2 linked regions of the Tamandua tetradactyla genome follow. The protein of the gene in region 2 purifies or fractionates together with the protein of the main gene of each other region. This does not show direct contact. Links are inferred from orthologs where the notes say so. Each region holds a gene or a part of one and is shown on either strand. Other genes may lie near its edges.

Region 1 (11,182 bases), on a different chromosome or scaffold from region 2:
ATTTCACCTCCTGCTATTTTTCACAGAACTAGCCCCATTCATATCCATCCCTCTCTCCTCCCTTCCCCCAGACACTCCTACATGCATTACACCTTTCAGGTATAATATAACATAACTATACTAAATCATATCTTCCAAATGAGCCATTCTTAATATGGCTTCCTGGTATTGGTTTATATCCTTTCCGCCCTCCTAGAAATCCAAATAGTACTCAACCTTCAAGCCCCACCTTCTCCTGAGGCTTTCACTGAGCTATCTTCCCTTCTACACTTTTGTTATTGGACATGGTAGGACTGCATTCCTGGTTCTCTAAATGTGTAATGTGGATATGATTCTACTCTCCAAATGAGATTATAAGCTCTTGGTAAGAAGACTATATCATTGCCCACCCATTCAGGAAACACAAGAAAAGGTCACCAGAGATCACTGCACTGGGCTAGGACTGGCCTTGTAGTCCTGCATGTCCTGGTGTTCAGCATATCTTTATTAAATGCATACTATGTGCTAAGTACTGTGCCAAGTGTCTTTACATCATCTCATTTAATCTAATAAAAAATCTCATTATAAGGAAGAGAAATTTAAGACTTAGAGAAGATAAATACTGTGGTCAAGTCACATAGTCAATGTCTAGCACAGCTTGGATTTGAATTAATTCCAAAGAATGGGTTCCTTACCACCGTACCATACTATCTTTTGGTTTCACTTATTTGATAATTTGATCAAGATTACTGCATGCCTACTATTGTTTTGTACCATTCTAAGGCTTACACAGAGAAAGCATGGGTTCTGGCCTTCAAAAGGCAGAGTTTTGTGAAGGAGAGAGAGATAGAAACAATCATAATAAATGTTATAAGTGCATTTATTGGTCTGTGCTTGGGAGCACAAAGCTGTAGTACCCAACCCAGGGAGGTATCAAGAAAGCTTTTGCATAGGTGGTGGACCTAAATTAGCTGAACATGTTGTCCAGAAAGCAAAGAAATAAGGAGTGCTTGATAAAGTTTCAAAAGCAGCAAAGGGATCCAATAATAAATATAAAATGTCCATCTGGTTTGATAATCGGTCACTACTGACCTTAAGGTACAATTTCAGGGGAATGATGGGTTTGAAAGCTAAACTGCAGAAGTGAATGAGAGATGAGGATATGGAGACAAAATAATCTTTAAAAGAGTCTAGATGAGAAGAAGAGAATTATTCCTTGATAGCTAAAAGAAGATAAATGACTGTACCAGTTTGAAACTGCTGTGTATAACAGAAATGCTATGCTCTTTAATCCTGATTTAATATTGCTAGGTGGGATTTTTTTCATTAAGTTGCTTCCCAGGAGATGCGACCCACCCAATTGTGGGTGGGACCTTTTGCTCAGCTGGATTCCATGGAGATGTATCTTCATCCATTCAAGGTGGAGTTGCTTACTGGAGTCTTTTAAAAGTGAACCATTTTGGAAAAAGCTTCAGGGTTGACACAGTGAGAGATGTTTGGAGATGCAGAAGCAAAACACTCCCAGGAAGCCATTTTGAAATGAGAAGCCACAAAAGAAAGCTAGCAGATGTGGCCATGAGCCTTTCCAACTGACAGAGAAACCCGAACATCATCAACCCTTCCTTGAGTCAAAGCGTATTTATGTGGACGCCTTAGTTTGGACATTTTTATGGCCTTAGAAAATTGTGACTTAATAAATTCCCTTTATTACGAAAGCCAACCCATTTCTGGTATATTGTGTTCTAGCAGCTTTAACAAACAAAACAATGACCAAAGACTTTTTCTTTCTTTTTTTTCTCTCTCTTTGAGGTGAGGATAGGAAGAGATCTAAAAAAGCCTGATTTCTTTGTTTATGTTTGACTGGGGTAAAGACAGTAAGGGAGAGAAAAACAAATGAAAACAAGATCTCACAGGTAAAGGTAAAAGAAAAGTCAGAAGCAAAGATAAAGGGATTTTCTTTTATCAAAAGAATCCACTCAAACGCCTGATACTGTATCAAACAGTAGGGACACCCACATCAAAAGGCCAAGCCCTTGATCTTTACGCTTACTCTTGAGAAGCTTATGTATATAGCAGAGAAGCCTAGCCTACCTATAGGTATACTTCAGAGTTACTTACAGAGGACCTCTTTTGTTGCTCAGATGAGGCCTCTCTCTCTCTAAGGCCAACTCTGCAAGTGAAATCATTGTCCTTCCCCCTCCATGGGATATGACATCCAGGGTGAAAGTCTCCTTAGCAGCATGGGATATGGCTCCCAGAGATAAGCCTGGCTCAGGCACTATGGGATCAACAATCCCATCCTGACCAAAAGGTTGAAAAGAAGCATAATAAATAAGGTGTCAGTGGCTGAGAGAGTTCAAATAGAATCGAGAGGCTACTCTTGGAGGTCACTCTTAGGCAAACTTTAGTTAAACATTGCTACCTATTATAACTTGACAAACCACAACCACAACCACTCCTGCCAATCTGAATACCTAAGGCATTATATAAGATTTTACAAAGGTTCCATCCAAGAGGGTAACTTTCCAGAAAACCACAAATTCCAGATGGGTCCCTGGACCAGGTAAGTCCTGAAATGCAGAGGGTCCAGCCTCTCAAGGACACCAATCAGGTCCATTTCTTTATCCCATATTATCAACAGCCCCTTTCAACATGAAAAAGTTAGAATAGGCATAGCCAAAATACTCCTAAAGAGTGGGAGAAAGATCAAAGGTGATGGTGGAATTATACAGAGAAGGTAGAGTTTAAGAAATGAGTATGATTTCTGAATTGTTATATTGATATTTCTTTTCGTCTCCAGTATCTTAGAGCAGCTAGAAGTAAAAACCTAAAATTGTGGAATTGGAACCCATACCAAAATCTGAAATCCGTTCTACAATTAATTGTTGTGATACACTTTGAAAGTTATTGCTTTTGTGTATGTATGTTATTTTTCATTAAAAAAATGATTGTTATGATAAAAAATAATAAAAAAGAGTTCACTCATTCTTGAAGACTAACAGTAATGTAACGATGGCTACAAAAACAGATGACTTTGTAAGAAGGGAAGGGAGAAGCGGGAATTTGAAAGTGATACCAATCAAAAGCAGTGGATTCTCTACCCAATGTGCACAACAGCCAATTTATGACACTAGGGTTTCAAAGAGAGAAAGAGTTTAATGGTAAGTGTGACACAGGAGAGTAAATGACCTATCCACCCAAAAAATCTATTTCCTGGAGTCTAAGGAGTTCAGGGTTTTTATGAATCCAAACAAGTGAGGGATGGAGTTGTTAATATTATAAAATAGTAAGTACACACAGGGCCAATATTAGGCTAGAATAACCATTATAATAGTAACTGTAAATAAAGGTGAGACTAGTTGAGTTTCAGTAATCTCAGGTATTAATGGCTACCTATTCCACAATACAGATAAACAAACATGCACGTAATGATTCGGTAATAGTAATCATTTGTTAATTCTTAATTTCTGTTACAAAAGAAAAATATGATGACCTCAATTTTCTCCCCAATCCAGTTAAAGTAACAACAGAGTGAAATGCTTGGAGCTTAATGCACAACTGAAGACAAAACAACATACACCAATGGTTAACATCAAGGCCTATGAAGTCGGATTGCCTGGATTCAAATCTTAGCTCCACCACCCACTCACTGTGTGAATTGAGGCAAGTTATTTAACTGCTCTTAAGACTTTACTTCCTCAGTTGTAAAAGGACAGTAACTGCTCTAAACCACAGGGTTATCACAAGGGCTAATTAAAATGAAAAAGTATGTAAAGCTTAGTGTCTGGCAAAAAGCATTTAAAACCATTATAATTCTTATTAATAGTTAAGGTTGGATGAAAGCAGAAGTTAAGGTCCTGTGAAAAAGACCATCAGACAGCACAGACGTTGCAAACTAAGGTGGGAGGACACAAACCCCAATGATCTGCCCTTATGACCAATCACAATTCAAATATATTCCCAAAGTATTCTATAGGACTCCAAATATAAGGCAAACTTCAAGAAGGTTCTAAACCTAGACCACATTAATCCCAAATGGAAACTATATCGCTGCTCTTTTGAAATCTCTATCACTGGAGAAAGACTTGCTTCTTCTGAGCTTCCTGTAATGCCTGTTGAGAACACTTATTTACGATGTGCACTGTCTCCTTTGAAGGCCCTCAAGGTATCAAAACAAGTTCCTTTCAGGGAGTTTCTGGCGGACAACACTTCCTAACAAGCTGAACCACCTCCTTAGGTAGGAAAGGACTCACTCTCTAACTAACCTTTTTGCGACTAAGCTATGTGCAGGTATCCGGAGCACATATGAACAAAGGGCGGAGACCAACGTGACCGCCCCGCTGAAACGGAGCACAAGAGCTCTCCGGAGAGCCAGAGGATGGGGCAACGCTTGCCGAGAAAGAAGCCGTGAGAGCGTTATTCAAGGAACATTACTCGGGGGCAGAGCGGCCCCAGCCTGAGGCCCAATCCTGCAGGTTTCAACAGAAGAGGTAGGCCGATCACCGCCTTACCTCGAGATGGCAGAGATGGACACGTTCACAGCAGTCCATCTGGCCGCACAGCTTCCGGCGCTGCAGGATGACGTCACGAGACTGCAATCGCAACCTGTGGCGTCACCAGAGCCTTTTGAGGATTGGCTGAGAAAGTCTCGCCCAAGCCCGGGCTGGGAAATGTCCTCCCCAACCCGTCCAGCAGTCGACCGGGGTTCACGTGGGTAACCTGGCAACTGTCCCTAGAAGACGGAGTTCTCGCGGCACCTCTGTGCTCGGGGGTCGCTCTCCTGTCACCACCCTCAGTCTAAACTGGAAGAGACCTCAGGCGGCCAGTGCAGGTTCCACGTTTCCAGGCGGCCGTGCAGCTTCTTTGCACTCCTGTGAGGTGACGCTATCATTGAGGCTCTCTTTTCTGCTGTTGGTACCTGCTGTGAAATTGCTTCTCTCCCTTTCTTAGCCATAGTATACTTTCTCCCTTTGTTGGGAATAAAGGAAAGGAAGAAAGAGAGTCAGGGAAACCTGCTAGAGGTTTTTTTTTTGTTCGTTTGTTTAGTGCTATCTTCAGTAATGAACTGACGGAAGAGCAATCAGGGAGTAGAGAAACAGAATACTAGGATGAGATGTTTACAGATTTTTACAGCAGTTCCAGGTCGTTCCCTCAGAGTCAGGTTTTGCAATTGTTCCAAGGCATTTTGTCAGGTAGAGAAATCCCTATTTCAGGGATGAAGGCATGCTGTTTTAATTTTTTCTCAAACATCTTAGATAAAAACTGAGCCATAAGAGGCTTCTTTGTCGAGATGGAATTTGTTTCCTTCCATATAGAAGCAAAAACTCAACAGTATAGCGAAAACAACTGAGTCATCAAGACAGAAGGTGGGAGGATCTTACAGGAAACAAAAAGAGGAACTTGCTCTTGTTAGAGGAAATGCAAGCTTAAACTAAGGTCGCCTAAGGAAGTGGGGAGGCACGGATGCATCTCAGCTACCGAGTCAGGCCTAATGGTGGGTTCACAAGTGCTTGAGATAAAAAGCAACAACTCTGGTGACCTAGCCAGTTTTGTTTTTCCCTTAGAATTAAGCTTCTCTTTGTCTCTGCTTCTACCTGCCCTGCCTTTTGTGTATCTTACATTCAAAACCGGGATGGGATCGTTCTAATTGTATTATTCACAATAAGATGTGAAAAATCAGGCAGAGTTCCCACACTGGGTCACCTCCCAGGTCCCAGACCGATGGCTTCAGTTAGATCAAGCCCACTGTCTAAAGTGCAGTGGTGGCCAAGAAAGGAGGGTCATGGTACAATATATGGGTGATGACACTTAAGAGATTCATAGATACCACTCCAGAAGCAAAATGATTTATCACAAACATATATAAAAATGAGTAGAGAGTATTCTGAGATATTATCTATGGCAGTAGCCCTCAAAATGTAGTTCCAAGACAAGTAGCATCAGCATCACCTGGAAACTTGTTAAAAATGCAAATTTGGGAGCTCTACCCCAGGCCTACTGATTGAGAAACTCGGGGTGAGGCCCAACAATCTGTTTCTAAAAAGGCCTCCAGAACCAATAGGTCGAGCCCTCAATCTTGGGGTTCAACCCCATGAAACATTCCTATAAAGATAGACTAAGCCTACTTAACGGTAGGCCTACAAATCACCACCAGAGAACCTCTTCTGTTGTTCAGATGTGGCCTATCTCTAAAAGCCAGTTTGGCAGGTGAACTCATTGCCCTCCTCTCCACATGGGACATGACTCCCAGGGGTGTCAATCTCCCTGGCAATGTGAGACAAGACTCCCAGGATGAGCTGGGATCCAGCATCATGGGATTGAGAAACCTTTCTTGATCAAAAAGGGGAAGAGAAAAATGAGACAAAATAATGTTTCAGTGACTGAAAGATTTCAGAGTCTGGAGGTTATCCTGGAGGTTATTCTTATGCATTATATAGATATCCCTTTTTAGTTTACAGTGTATTTGGAGTGGCTAGAGGGAAGTACCTGAAATTGTTGAGTGTGTTCCAGTAGCTTTGATCCTTGAAGGTGATTGTATAAAGATATAACTGTTACAGTGAGACTGTGTGATTGTGGAAACTTTGTATCTGATGCTCTTTTATCCAGGGTATGGACAGAGGAGTAAACATGGATAAAATAAAGAAATAAATAATAGAGGGGATAAGGGGTAAGCTAAATTGAGTAGATAGAAATACTAGTGGTCAGTGAGAGGGAGGGGTAAGGGGTATGGGATGTATGAGTTTTTTCTTTTTTGTTTCTTTTTATGGAGTGATGTAAATGTTCTAAAATGATCATGGTAATGAATACACAACTATGCGATGATATTGTGAGCCACTGATTTACACCATGTATGAATTGTATGTGTGTGAAGATTTGTCAAAAATATTTTTTGAAAGCCTTCCAGATTATCCCGATGCCCCCTCAAATTTGAGGTTCACTGATGGAAGGAAAAGGCTTGAAACTGTGCCCTTCAAAATGTGTTCTGTTGGCCTGCTCAGGGAGTTTTATTTTTTATTCCAACAATTAAAAATTAGATCTCACAAGAAAATCAGGATTCCTGGTCTCTTGAAAAAAATCAGTAAATCTAGCAACTTCTGGCAACAAACAGCTGGGACTGAGAGTGGCTACCATGTGCTCTTCAACTTGCCACTGTTCCCATCCATTTATTTATATAATCTGACTCCCTGAATGCCTTTGATTTTGAGAGTCCTGGTATAAAGGAAGTGCAGTTGGAGCCTGAGAAGGCTGCAGTGGTCTAGTCCAAAGACTTGCTCATGGAGACTTCCTAATATTAGGCTTAGGGTGGTCAGGCCCTTTGAGACTGATTTACCTATCTAACTCACATGAGACTCAGGTACACATCAAAGTATAATTTATTAACATGTCAAGGTAAATTACTGATATGGGCAAGACAAATGCTAGAATCTGTATTTCAATGTTCCTCTATTTGACAAATATTTATTGAGATTCTATTATGTTCTGGATGCACAGGTAAGCAAAACAGACACACTCCCTGCCCTTGTGGCACAGTCTAGTGGGGAAGACAGTCATTACTTTCACATGCACAGATTTACAATTGGTAATAAGTCCTAAGAAGGAAAAGTACACAGTTGTAGGGGAGAGAATAGCTGGAACACCTCTTTTGAGAAAAAAAAAGTTTTGGGGGGAGAGGTTGGTAGCAGGGTCAGGAAAGGCCCATCTAAGGGCTGCTAGTGCAGCACTGAATTCCTTTTACTGTTGGTACCACTGTGACCTGTGTCTGGGCCTCGCTGATGCTTAGCTCAGAGACCAATAACAAAGGCCCACTGTATTAGGGTTCTCTAGAGAAACAGAACCAGCAGGATATATCTGTAAATATGAGATTTATAAAGGTGTCTCATGCAACCATGGCAATCTAAAATCTGTAGGACAGGCTATGAAGCTGGCAGCTCTGATGAAGGGTCTGGACAACCTCCACAGGAGAGGCTCTCTGGCTGAAAAAGCAGTGAAAGGGTCTCTCTTCTTCCTTAAAAGCCTTCAACTGATTGGATTGTCATGTTGTGGGAGACAATCCTTACTTGTGCCATAATTGATCACAAATGTAATCAGCCACAGATGCAGTCAACTGACTGATGATTTAATACACTAGCCTTCCAGTTTAACAACCAGCCATGAAATATCCTTGCAGCAAAGGCCAGGGAAGTGCTTGCCTGACCGGACAACTGGGCATCATCACTTGGCCAAGTTGACCCCATTACCCAACTTGACACCATTACCAGTTCTGCCTCTGCTCTGAGGAACAGCTTGCAAGTGAGAGTTAAGATCTAAGCCAGCAGTGCTCTCAAGATCACTTGCCAACCAACCTCTCCTACCACACTTTCTTGACTAACTACCACCACTACCACACCCAACACCACCACTACCACACCCAGAAAAATGTGAACACATACACACACATATCCCTCACCTCCTGACTTCCCACCCATATTTGGATAAAACATAATAAATTGAACATAAAAATGTTGAAATGGCAGTTTAACCCAACACTTTAATTCCTTCATATTGCCTGATAGCTACAAAAGGAGTGCAAAGTTGGGGTGCAGGATATCAGATCTTGGTAATCAGGGTTTGACATTCACTCAACAAACACTTCTGAGCACCTGCTATACGACAATTACTGTGCTAAGTACTGGCTGGATATAAAATGTTATTAAGGAGGTGGTACAAGTATAGTTCAGTGGTAGAATTCTTGTCTGCCATGTGAGAGACCCAGGTTCAATTCCTGGCCCATGCACTACTCCCCCTTCAAAAAAAAAAAAAGAATAAATGTTACTGCAATAAGGGGATACTCACCTGGAAAAAGAATGAAATGTGACCCTCATTACATAAAAAAATAAATGCTATTAAGTCATGATCACCAAAACAGTCCTCCACCTCTGAAGCTTGGCTTTAACTCATTGGATTGCCTTTTGGTGTGCAGCCATCGGGCTGTTAAGAGGCATCCCTGTGAACTGGTCACCCCATTAGGAATGCTGTCAAGGACACTGCTCTTCATATCACACAATGTTCTCTTTATTAACACCCCTGGGAGACATTCCAATCAGATCCCAATTCCAGGAATAGTTTCACTTCTCCAGAGTAACAGGTTTGTTTTTTCTTACAGACACCATGAATTGTGAATACAATGAGGCTTTAGCTTAGAGACAAATTCATGGCCCAGTTGCCCATATATGAAGGTCATTTCTTTTGTTTGTTTGGGTGTTTTTTATTATTGTTTTTTTCTTTGCTTTTTTTAATTGAAGGTCATTTCTATGCACATTTTTAGCTCATTCCAAGCTCCATTTTGTCTCTCCCTGTGTTTTTATTTCTTCATCCTCCAAACTTTTAATTTATACCTTTTTTATGTATCTTTACATAAATTCTATGATAAAAGTGTGTCCATAGGGTGAAAAATACAAGAAGAGTTATAAATCATTCAGAAGATTAGAGAAGACCTCTCATAGCGGTCATTACATCAGTGGAATTTTTCTTTTGTTTTGTTGAGGATGTTGCAGTTTATAAGTTGCTGCCCAGTGCAAGAAAAGAGGATATATATATATCTTGCAGAGTAGATTTTGATGTCATATCATGGGTTCATGAGACATCATAGAAATTGTTTACAAAAAATTGCAACTACTTCTATAAGCGGTTCCTTTCATCAATTTCTTTTCTGAAAAAATAATAATATGGTGGCAAAACAATCATATCTACATCACAATTTATGTGCAGAGAAGGAAATTCAGATGTAGTGTCAAACTTAAATTAGAACATATTCTATAGCAAAGTGAAGAATTAAAATAATCATAATGTAAACTGTGGAATATATGGTCTCTTGCAGCAATCTACCAACCTGGAGCTTTAAAGGGAATATTTTATCATTCCAATGGGGAAAACGTTAACTTTTAACTTTGAGAGACTAAATGAAATGTGCTACTCTTCCCCCCCACCTCCATTTCTATTAGAATAAATTTTAAAAAACAACAACTTCAAAGCCACAGTGGTCAAAACAGCATGGTACTGGCATAAAGATAGATATATTAACCAATGGAATCGAATAGAGTGCTCAGATACAGACCCTCTCATCCATGGACATTTGATCTTTGATAAGGCAGTCAAGCCAACTCACCTGGGACAGAACAGTCTCTTCAATAAATGGTGCCTAGAGAACTGGATATCCATATGCAAAAGAATGAAAGAAGACCCATGTCTCACACCCTATACAAAAGTTAACTCAAAATGGATCAAAGATCTAAACATTAGGTCTAAGAACATAAAACAGTTAGAGGAAAATGTTGGGAGATATCTTATGAATCTTACAACTGGAGGCGGTTTTATGGACCTTAAACCTAAAGCAAGAATACTGAAGAAGGAAATAAATACATGGGAGCTCCTCAAAATTAAACACTTTTGTGCATCAAAGAACTTCATCAAGAAAGTAGAAAGACAGCCTACACAATGGGAGACAATATTTGGAAACGACATATCAGATAAAGGTCTAGTATCCAGAATTTATAAAGAGATTGTTCAACTCAACAACAAAAAGACAGCCAACCCAATTACAAAATGGGAAAAAGATTTGAACAGACACTTCTCAGAAGAGAAAATACAAATGGCCAAAAGGCACATGAAGAGATGCTCAGTGTCCCTGGCCATTAGAGAAATGCAAATCAAAACCACAATGAGAGATCATCTCACACCCACCAGAATAGCCATTATCAACAAAATAGAAAATGACAAGTGCTGGAGAGGATGTGGAGAAAGAGGCACACTTATTCACTGTTGGTGGGAATGTCAAATGGTGCAACCGCTGTGGAAGGCAGTTTGGTGATTCCTCAACAAGCTGAATATAGAATTGCCATATGACCCAGCAATACCATTGCTAGGTATCTACTCAGAGGACATAAGGGCAAAGACACAAATGGACATTTGCACACCAATGTTTATAGCAGTATTATTTACAATTGCAAAGAGATGGAAACAGCCAAAATGTCCATCAACAGACGAGTGGCTAAACAAACTGTGGTATATTAATACGATGGAATATTATGCAGCTTTAAGACAGAATAAACTTATGAAGTATGTAACAACATGGATGGAACTTGAGAACATTATGCTGAGTGAGACTAGCCAAAAACTAAAGGACAAATACTGTATGGTCTCACTGATATGAACTGACATTAGTGAA
Region 2 (10,626 bases):
TTAGCCCTAATTTATATATAAACACAAAGATAAAATGAAGACAACCACAGGGAAATTTCCAGCTGCTGAATTATCTGAGCTATACGACAATTTAACTCTACTTGTGTTTCTCTTCCTCTGAATGAGGGTTTGGGCAAGAAGTAACAAGGGTTAAGTAACAAATGCCTAAAGCACGGCACAGCTGGGTGAAAGCCTGAGAATGGAGGATATGAGAAGGAGACTCTTCTCTTCTGGAAGTCTTTCTTCCTTTCAAAGCACAAGGATAGATGCCCATTTTTAGATGGTTTTAGAGCCAATGTTAGAGTGGCTCTAACAGTGACTATAAAAGGGATGTAACAGGGACTACAACCATGCTTAACTAAAGATATGAATATTATTTTACAGAAAGGATTATGAGAGTCTTAAGGGATTAATTAGATTTGGAGGTCTCTAAAATAGGCATATGGATGTGCGTGTGCATGTATGTCCATATGTGTGTGTGTGTGTTTATGTACATATACACGAATGCATTTTCTAACTGTATGCTAAAAGGTCTTAGAAGCAAAACTACCCCAGTGGCAACGAGAACACCTAGCACTCAAATTTTGGTCTCTAATACCAAGCCCCACTAACAGGAACCAGGACTCTTCAGAGAAATGGCTGATTCCAGGGCTGGGCTAGGATACATACAAGATGAGCCTAAGAATATATTGTTACACCAAAAAGTAAGGAACAACTTCAAAACATTTTTTAAGAAAATGATGAGCGCAGGTCACAAAGATACAGATAACAGACTGAAGGGGTACCCACATAAGGACCAACTGAGTACCCAAATAATTAGGTACAGTAATGAATTTTAAGCCATTGGGAGAAAGTAGCAAGCCACGAGTCCACACAGATAATAAATTCATAAGATAAAAAAAAGCATGGGTGGGTACTCTATATTTTAAAAATGTCAATGTCATAAACAAAAAGGAGGCCAGAGACATGTCAAACTAAATGCAACATCTGATCCTAGATGGGGATCCTGTACTGGAAAAAAAATGTAATTAAATATACTATTTGATCAATTGACAAAATTGGAAGAAAGAGATAGTAATTATTTATTACTATATCAATAATAAATTTACTGCAGTTAATAACCATATCATGATTATATAAGAGAATATTCCTATTCTTAGGATATACATACTGTCAAATATTTAAAGGTAAAAGCTCATGATGTATGTAACTTACTCTTAAATGATTCAGGACAAAAAAAAATTGTGCATGCGTGTGCATAGAGAGTGGGCTAGTAAGAATATGTGTAAGCACAAATCATAAAGCAGTAAAATGTCAATGGTAAGTGAAGCTGGGTTAAAGGAATATGGATCTTCTTTGTACTATTTTTGTTCTTGCAACTTTCCTGTGAGTTTGAAATTATTTCCAAATAAAATGTTTAAAAGAAAGTGGACTCTACTCTCCTTATCCCTGTTCTCCCGACAAGAATGAAATGAGAAAAGTTTTCTCCACTCACCTGCAATGTGCTGTGTTATCTGTTCCTTCTCATTATCTTCCAGCTCCTCCCAGCCTTCCAGCTCTGTGAGATCCTCGATTTTTTTTGTGGTGGCCCGGGCCCGTTCAAGTTTCTCAAACATGCATTTAATGTGGTACCACTCTTTCATATCACCGCCGGACTCTGAGAAGGGATTGGGCACCACTTTGCCAATTCGGCATACACCCTTCACGATCTTTTCTTTACATTTTTTGCAGCCAGCTGTGCCACGCTTGGCATAATCAACACAGAATCGTTGCTCAGCCATCTCACTGGGGCCACTGCAGAGTCCCACATGCAACCCTGGCAAGAAAACAAGGCAAGTGGTTCGTGGTTTTTGATTGCCTTGCTGGAATGACAGAACAGGCTTTTTTGTCAGAGGGCAGCGCCCATGAAGCAGATCTGTTTCTAGCCACTGGTTAAACTGTCTGATGTCAGGCCAACGATGTCGCTCTCGGAACAGGCACGGTTCTTTTCGGCTGAATGCACGGAAGGTTGGTGGAAAGAGGATCCTGAAAGCTAAAGTCATACAGCTGCATGAAAGGGTGAGAAGCAGAGTAAATGAGATATAAATGAGGAGATAAACTTCCAATTTGCTCAAAAGCCAAAGGTCTATATGGCCCAGGCTGACTAATCAAAAGTATTAAAAGTTTATTTCCTACAGGATGAAGAAGAGTTCCAGTAAATGGAAAATCCAGTTTGCAAAAGGTGTTTGATTAATATACACACGTATATCCAGTAATCACAACTAAGAGAACCCAAATAATACAAAGCTTATCCTGTTTTCTCAGCAATCCCTGAGACTCATAATGAATGATGACATTTAAGTATTATAAGGTCGTGAAGTTTCTTTTTAATCATTAAGAAAAATTACATATGTCCATAAAGTATTCAATGTGAGATATAACACGTCATCCTCTAGAAAACAAACCATTACATGGATTTGTGATTTAATCCAAAACCCTATTTTGAGAGGCAACTAAGTGGAGCCTGGAATCAGACTGCCTGGGTTCAAACCTTAGCTCAGCCACTTACCGGCTGTGTGAACTTGGTAGTTTCTTAATCTCTCCATTCCTCAGTTTCCTCATTTGTAAAATGTCGACAATAGTACTTATTCAAAGCATTGCTGTTCTAAGGGGTAAGCCCTTAGAAAAGAGTTGGACACATTATCAGGGGCTCAATAATGTTAGCTCTTATCTTCAATGAAGAAGTTACTTTAAACAGTGGTACCCTATGTACAATTATATGCCTGTCTATAATTCAGCAATTTGAGTCAGAGAATTCTGAAGTAACTGGATGACAAGAGTCAAAGAAACTGATAAATCAATCCAAATGGAAACAAGGATTATATCCAAATGGTATCTCCTTATCTTCTTATATTGTTTATATCTTCCAAAGTATCTTTTTTTTTGGATGTTGTATGGTGGGGTTACCACATTTCATTATTTTTCCATGTGAGTATCCCGCTATTGCAGCACTATTTTGTTGAATTTTTTATTTGTTTGTGTTTGTTGGTTTCCTGGTTTGGGAAGTGCACCGGCCAGGAACTGAACCCAGGTCTCCCGCACAGGAGGCAAGAATTAAAGTTCTAATATTTAAAATACTAGAAGTCATTTTCAAGTTTGCACACCGCTTTGTAGTGAAATTGCCATTGTATTATACAAAAACAGGCCTTTACCTACGGTACTGCAACATGGTACAGAGGAATGCATAGGGTCTTTCAAAAATTAGGGAGTCTTGGCAGCTTAAAGTCTGATCATACAGCATATATGTTATTTTAACTTTGAGAAACTTTTTAACTTCTCTGAGTCTGCGTTCTTATTTCTAAAACAGGGAAAATAATACCTGCCTCACAGGGTGGTTGTGAAAATTAAAATAAGCCCATGGATGGCCTGGGAGGGGGGCGGTAACATGGTTTAATCTCCTTGAAAATGTACATACTTGTAAATGTATTTTTGGAGAGAAGGTTCATAACTTTCTCATGAGATTCACAAAGGGTTCTACAATCTTCAAAAGTTTAAGAACTACAGAGATGATGTATAGGAAAGTACGGCAGGCCCATAAGAGAAGCTCAGAACCTGAAATCTTTCTTAGAAGACAGACCTAATTATGTCACGCCTACCCCTACGCCCCTGTAAATAATTAAAGAAACAGACTCCAGAGCATCTCGCAGCGCCCTAGTCTCAGCCTCAGAGGAGGCTCCTGAGGCTCTGGCCCACCGCGACGCATAAACTCCTTGGAAGGAGCCCGAGCAGGAAATCGCTGAGGTCTCAAAGAAGCGCAGACGGCCACGGGCCAGTGAGCTGCAGCGGGGTGGAAAGCGAAACCCCTGCAGCTGCCTTGCTGAAGGGGCCTCCCGCCACGCTTTCGCGGAGTGGGTAGGGACTACCGACCCGGGCGCCGCGAGCCGGCCTCAAGGAAGGGAGGAGGCGGGGAAGCGGGGTCGGGCGGCGTTAAGGCTAGACCCTCCGAGTCCCTCGGGATCAGCACGCTGGAGGCCGAGGGGACCCGCGGGCACAGCCAGCGGGGCTGGGGAAGGGAGCACGCTTCCACCCGGCCAGCGAACGCTGGGAACGAGAAAGGCTCCCAAATTCCTAGGGAAGCGCAGCAACTTCGTTGCGGGGAATATGCAGGGGCAGGGACACAGAAGAAGTCCCTGGAGGGGCCCCGAAGGGCCGCACGCCCGGGGATGTGAGCAGGCACTATTCCTCGCGCGGGTATCTTGGGGGTGCCTCAAGGTACCAGGCACCTCCCGGGTGGACTCCCGGGGGCCGCCACGTCATGGAGGGTGTGCCCCCGGGCTCCGCAGGCGGGAGGGGGAGGAGCCGAGGGGGCTGGCTCCCGGACCGCGCCGAGGTTCGGGTCCCCACCGGCTTCCTCCCCACACTGCCAGCCCCGCCGCGCCGCCCTCACCTGCCTTTCCGGCTCCAGCGCACACTGTAGGCCTTGGGTCCAGGCGCCCAGAGGCCGTGGGCAGCCCACGACGGTTGTAGCTCCTGTCTCTTTAAATCCGGGTCCTTGAGCTGGTGACAGTGCGCAAGCGCATAAGCGAAGGCCCAAGCTGCGCCGCAGGTCTCGGCGCTGGCGCGGGTCCCCGCCCCCGGCCTACCACGTGGGTCGTGGGCAGTTTGTGCCACGTGGCCCTGGTCTTTGGTTGTCTGGGTTTTGGGGCGTTCGGAACTGCGATCGCCGCCTGGGGAAGCAGAGATAAGGGGACGTGGTGGTGTCCCAAAGTGCGGCCTGGCTGGAACTTCTGAGGATCCCCCTGATTTTTTCGTGCTGTTAGAGATCATATAGTCCAATTGAGTTAAAGCGTATTAGTTGAGAAATTACATTGTAATGAGCTTGGGGAAGGCAAAGGTCGCGTTATTCAGCCGATCTCTCGGTGTTCCGCCTTCTCGTTATCTTGCACAATGCCTAGCATATAGTAAGTATTCAGTAAATGTTATTGAACTGCAAAAGGCGCAATGTGGATACGATAGATGGATAGACGATAATGATAGATAGGAAACTGTGTAAAGGCATGGTGGGGAAATAATCTCCTACATTGTAGATTGTTTTAAATATTATCTCTTTGAACTTCCAGTGATCTTTATGAAAGATTAGGATGGCTATTTTTACAAAGGGGTAGCAGGTTTAGAGAAGGTACGTGAACTCGTTCAAGGTCAGGGGACAGTTGGGCCAATTGTTCAGTAAGCAAAGGTCAGATCCTGGAAGAAATTATTTGCTGTGTCATAAAGAGCTTGGCCTTTATTCTGTAAGTGATGGAGAGCCCTGAAGAGTTTTACAGAATAGGAATTACTGTCAAAGTTGGGTAGGAGAGAGGGTAAGGCAAGGGTGCTAAGTGGCCTGAATTAGCTCAGGTAGCTGTGATGGAGAGGAAGGTGTGTTTTTGAGAAACATTTATATTCTAAACAGTCTTCTATAATCTGTACTGTAAGTTTGAAATTATTTCAAAATAAGAGGTTAAAAAATTACCTCCTGGATAAAATGTTCATTTGTCTAAAGAGGAAATGAGCATGACTTAAGTGAGCAAGTAGATAATGGTGCCATCAACTGAAATAGAAAATAGGGGAGGTAAAGGTATTTGGGGTAAGGATGTTTTGTTTTAGATATATTAAGTTTCGTTGATTGAGGTCAACCACGATTCCACTGTTTGCAATAGAGTAAAGCCCCTTTCTCTTTTCTCTACTTTGGTATAGCAAAATGATCTAGGTCTTTGGGGTTGATGGGTCAATGAAGGCTAAAGTACTAGTACTGGTAGTTGAATGATCCTGAAGGTACATTATCACTGCAATTAGAACATTGTTTTAAAAATCTCCTCAAATGTATCTGTCCTTTCTTCTGGCCCTGTGCTGTCCAATGCTGTAGCACTTAAAATGTGGCTAATCCAAGTTGAGATGTGCTGTGAGTATAAAATACACACTGATTTTGAAGACTTGGTACAAAAAAAAGAATGTTAAAAACTCAATAATATATGTATTTCAATTACGTGTTGAAATTATAATATTTTGGATATACTGGATTAAATAAAATATATTATTAAAATACATTTTGCCTATTTTTACTTCTAAAAATGTGGCTACTAGTAAATATTAAATTACATATGTGGCTCGCATTATATTTCTTTTGGATAAAGCACTGTCCTAAACTTCAAGCCTATTTGTGGAACGTGACCTCTGTATCTTATACATCTTTTTATCCCCAGTGCCTAGAACAGTGCCTGGCACATAATAGGCACTCAGCACATATTTATAAATAAATCAAGGAAAACCATGAGTGAATGGAATGAATGAATGAAACTTAGAAAGTGATGTCCCTTGGAAGGATGTTCATAATATAGTTTTCTGACAAAGTAAATGTGTTTTATGTACATTTGCAAAAGGTCTCAGGCTCTCAATATTTATTGTGCTTAATTAGAACCCCAAGGGACCCCTAATGTCTCTGTGACTCAGATCCCTCTCTGTGAAATGGAACCATGTGTGAGAGCCGACAGTTGCACTTCCTTAGGGAAGTAGGAACTGCTCCTAAGGAGAATGAGGTAATTTGTGATGGTGGGAAAAGCAGTGCTTTGGAATCACGTAAACCCAAGTTTGAATTGTGTTCTGCCACTAGATGTATAACCTCAGGTTCTATTCTTAACTTCTTGGGGACTGAGTTTTCCTGGTGAAGTAGGATTGTGGGTGATGATTAAGTGAAATGGCTGGTATAACTTGCAAACTGCTTCACACTTAGAAGTTTTGTGGTAAATGTGCATGCTCCTCCATTCCCCAGCCTAGACACCTTCATACCACTGCAAAGTTTTACCACTTAGTTAGTCATCAATCAGTCAGTAAAGTATTTGAGTTCCTACTCTGTCACGCACTATTTCAGGAGCTGGAATACAGCTGTAAAACAGAACAGACAAAAAGCCCTCCTCTTATGGAGTTATCAGGCTGATGTGGGAAATAAATATTAATAATACAGTAATAAGTAAAATGCATAGTATGTAAAAGGATGAGTGCAGTGGAGAAAGAGCAGATGAGGAGGATCAGATGTGCTGGGCAAGGTGGTGGGTTGCAGTCTTTAATACAGGTCAGGAAGACCTCATGACAAAGTGAAGGAATGAAGGAGAGAGCCTCATGGAGAACTCAGGGAAGGGGAGTATCAGTAAAAGCTCAGCAGCCAGAATGTGCCTGGCATGTACGCAACGGGAAGGAGATCTGTGTGGCTACAGCAGAATGAGTTAAGGGTGAGAAGAGTAGAAGGTGAGGCTAGCAAGGAAGCAAGGAGACAGATCCTTGTAAGCCATTGTAGAAACTTTGGCTCTTACTCCAGGTGAAATGCAACCCCATGGACTTTACTGAGTAGAGAAATGACATGATTCTGATGTATTTTAACAGGATCACTCTTGCTACTATGTAGAGAAGTTGGGAGATGAGCTGGGTGGCTACTGAAATAAACTAGGACAGAAACAAGAGTAGCTTGGGGGAGTGGGGAGGGTAAACAGTGGAAGTAGTAAGAAATAATCTGAGGCTTATGGACCCCAAGTGATGCCTGGATGGAATTGGGTACCTTTGAACCCCTTAAAATTTTATGTGAATGTTTGTGTGAACATGCATTTTTGGAGGGAGAGCTTTTATTGGAGTCTGATAGCTGTTCCATAGTCCTAACTAAGAACTATATTGTCAAATAATCAAGATATCTATTTCACCCAATCTCATAATTAAGTCCTTGCCTTAGACCTTTATCGTAAATTTTTCAGGACATTTATCCTGTTTGTGAGCTTCTCTTAGAGTTCCACCATCCCCTTTTAGACTGAATCAGTTTGGATTATGGTGTATTAGAGTGGCTAGAGCGAAGTACCTGAAACTGTTGAGCTGTGTTCAGTAGCCTTGGTTCTTGAAGATGATTGTATGATGATATGGCTTTTACAATCTCTGTATGATTGTGAAAACCTGTGTCGGATGCTCTTTTATCTAGGGTGTGGATAGATGAGTAAAAAATATGGGTGGAAAATGAACAAATAATAAAGGTTAAGATAAATTGGGTAGATGGAAATGCTGGTGGTCAATAAAGGGAGGGGTAAGGGGTATGGTATGTATGAGTTTTTTTTTTCTTTTTATTTATTTTTCTGGAGTGATGCAAATGTTCTGAAAAATGATCATGGTGATGAATGCACAACTAAGTGATGATATTGTGAGCCATTTATTGTACACCACGTATGGACTGTTTATATGTTAAGATTTATCAATAAAAATATCAATATTTTAAAAAAACAAAGACTATTCATTTAGATTCATCAGGATTGTTAAGAAGGAAAAAAAAGTCTGAGGGAATTGGGTAGATTCTGTGCGACCCTCTATGAAAAGCTTGGAAGCCACAGGCAGAGATAGGAAAGCGGCCTCACACCTTCTCCGTGGATTCCTTTTTTGATAAGCTCTGGTCTATGAACCACATAAATCTCAGCAGTGAGAGTTGATTTTACGGTTTGGTTTGCTTAATAGTCGCACAATTAAAATAAGCTGTAAAAAACAGTGATAGTGTTTGCCAGGATAAATGTTTAAAAAGGAACAGTTGCAGGAAGATATAATAATTCAAATCAGCTAGTGAGTCTTCTTCTAAATAAAGGCTGTGGAAGATGGTTCTTAACTGGAGGGATAATAAAGGCTGTGGAAGATGGTTCTTAACTGGAGGGATTTCCTGGCTTCTCCTTTGAATGTCTTTGTGCTGCAGCTGTCATTTGAGGTAGGAAAGAATAAGGAAGAGTCGAGAGGAGTCAAGGGTGCCTTTGGGAGTAGCTGATCCAGGGCAAAGACAAAGGCTTCTGGGGCTTGGGTAAGAAGAGAGGGTTGAGGTCACAGGTAAGGGGCGAGACGACTCAGAGTTGCTGCCATTTTCCTGCACTTCTGAGTTGGGTCTTCTAGTCTGAAGTGGTCATGTTATTTTCAAAGAGAAAATAGGTTTCACAAAGGGCCTGTTTGGGAAGAAAAGTTGAGTACTGTTTCCACTGGACTCTGGGCTTGCATGATAGATAGTGCCAATGATAGTTTCTAGCTTTGGTACCGCAGCAGAGATGGAAGACTGGTTGCACACTGTCTACCTCATGCCACTTCATTTATTTAGCAGGACAGCCCCCTTCTTTCTTCTCTCCTCCTCTGGGAGGTTCCACTCAACCCTTCTTCCTGAGGCCTTCCTGTTCGTGCAGCCCACTGTGCTCTCCTCTTCTGCCATCAGTTCCTGTCTCATCTTGGTGATAGACAGAGTGGGAGGGTCCTTAAGGAGTTCCCAGAGAGGATAAAACTAAGGCTGACTAGGTGAACATCACATAGTAAGTGGCAAAGATGGAACTTGGACCTCATACTTTTGATTAATTCTCTTTCCAATACCTGTACCAGTAGTTTAATAAATAATTGTGTTCTCCAATTTCTTCTACTGTTTACAATGCAATCAGATTGAGTTTTCCTGAAGGTAAGGACTGTGTCTTCGTTCGTTCAACAGATTTCATTTGAATGGCTACTCTGTGCAGGCCATTGGCTGGATATTGGGTAATAAGATAAGCACGGTCCCTGCATTCATGAGCAACTGATATATGTCAATTTCTTTTTTTTTTTTTTTAACTTTTTTTATTAATTAAAAAAACATTTAGATATCATTCCATTCTACATATACAATCAGTAATTCTTAATATCATCACATAGTTGCATATTCATCATTTCTTAGTACATTTGCATCGATTTAGAAAAAGAAATAAAAAGACAACAGAAAAAGAAATAAAATAATAATAGAGAAAAAAAGACTATACATACCATACCCCTTACCCCTCGCTTTCATTTGCCACTAGCATTTCAAACTGAATTTATTTTAACATTTGTTCCCCCTATTATTTATTTTTATTCCATATGTTCTACTCTTCTGTTGATATAGTAGCTAAAAGGAGCATCAGACATAAGGTTTTCACATTCACAGAGTCTCATTGTGAAAGCTATATCATTGTTCAATCATCATCAAGAAACATGGTTACTGGAACACAGCACTACATTTTCAGGCAATTCCCTCCAGCCTCTCCACTACATCTTGAACACCAAGATGATATCTACTTAATGCGTAAGAATAACCTCCAGGATAACCTCTTGACTCTGTTTGGAATCTCTCAGCCATTGACACTTTGCCTCATTTTACTCTTCCCCCTTGGTCGAGAAGGTTCTCTCAATCCCTTGATGTTAATTCTCAGCTCATTCTAGGGTTTTTCTCAGTCCTTTGATGCTGAGTCTCAGCTCATTCCAGGATCTTTGTCCCACGTTGCCAGGAAGGTCCACACCCCTGGGAGTCATGTCCCACACAGAGAGGGGGAGGGTGATGAGACTGCTCGTCATATTGGCTGGAGAGAGAGGCCACATCTGAGCAACAAAAGAGGCTCTCTTGGGAGTATATGTCACTGAATTTCTTGCAGAACCTTGTACTATAACTTACATAAAGGAATTATTTAATGAATGTTTATTATTGTTAATGTATGCTATTGAGTGCTTCTTATATGCCATGCACTGTGCTAAGCAATATATAAGCATAGTGTCTGGCATATTAGAATCATTCAATAATGTATATATATATATATTCATCTAATCTTCATAATA

Evidence for each region.
Region 1: the proteins of LIG3 (region 2) and APTX purify together in Homo sapiens (affinity purification with mass spectrometry; 3 studies listed by BioGRID and IntAct, with this or other methods). This does not show direct contact. The link is inferred for Tamandua tetradactyla from reciprocal best matches to the Homo sapiens genes LIG3 and APTX.

Annotation. Positions count from the first base shown.
Region 1 is NC_135328.1:62,889,125-62,900,306, reverse strand, and holds the start of APTX (aprataxin), read right to left. Parts: upstream 4,558-11,182; 5' UTR 4,491-4,557; intron 1-4,490. UniProt on the Homo sapiens protein: DNA-binding protein involved in single-strand DNA break repair, double-strand DNA break repair and base excision repair.
Region 2 is NC_135332.1:46,370,860-46,381,485, forward strand, and holds the start of LIG3 (DNA ligase 3), read right to left. Parts: upstream 4,570-10,626; 5' UTR 4,431-4,569; exon of another isoform or gene 4,427-4,430; intron 2,047-4,426; 5' UTR 2,043-2,046; coding exon 1,496-2,042; intron 1-1,495. UniProt on the Homo sapiens protein: Isoform 3 functions as a heterodimer with DNA-repair protein XRCC1 in the nucleus and can correct defective DNA strand-break repair and sister chromatid exchange following treatment with ionizing radiation and alkylating agents.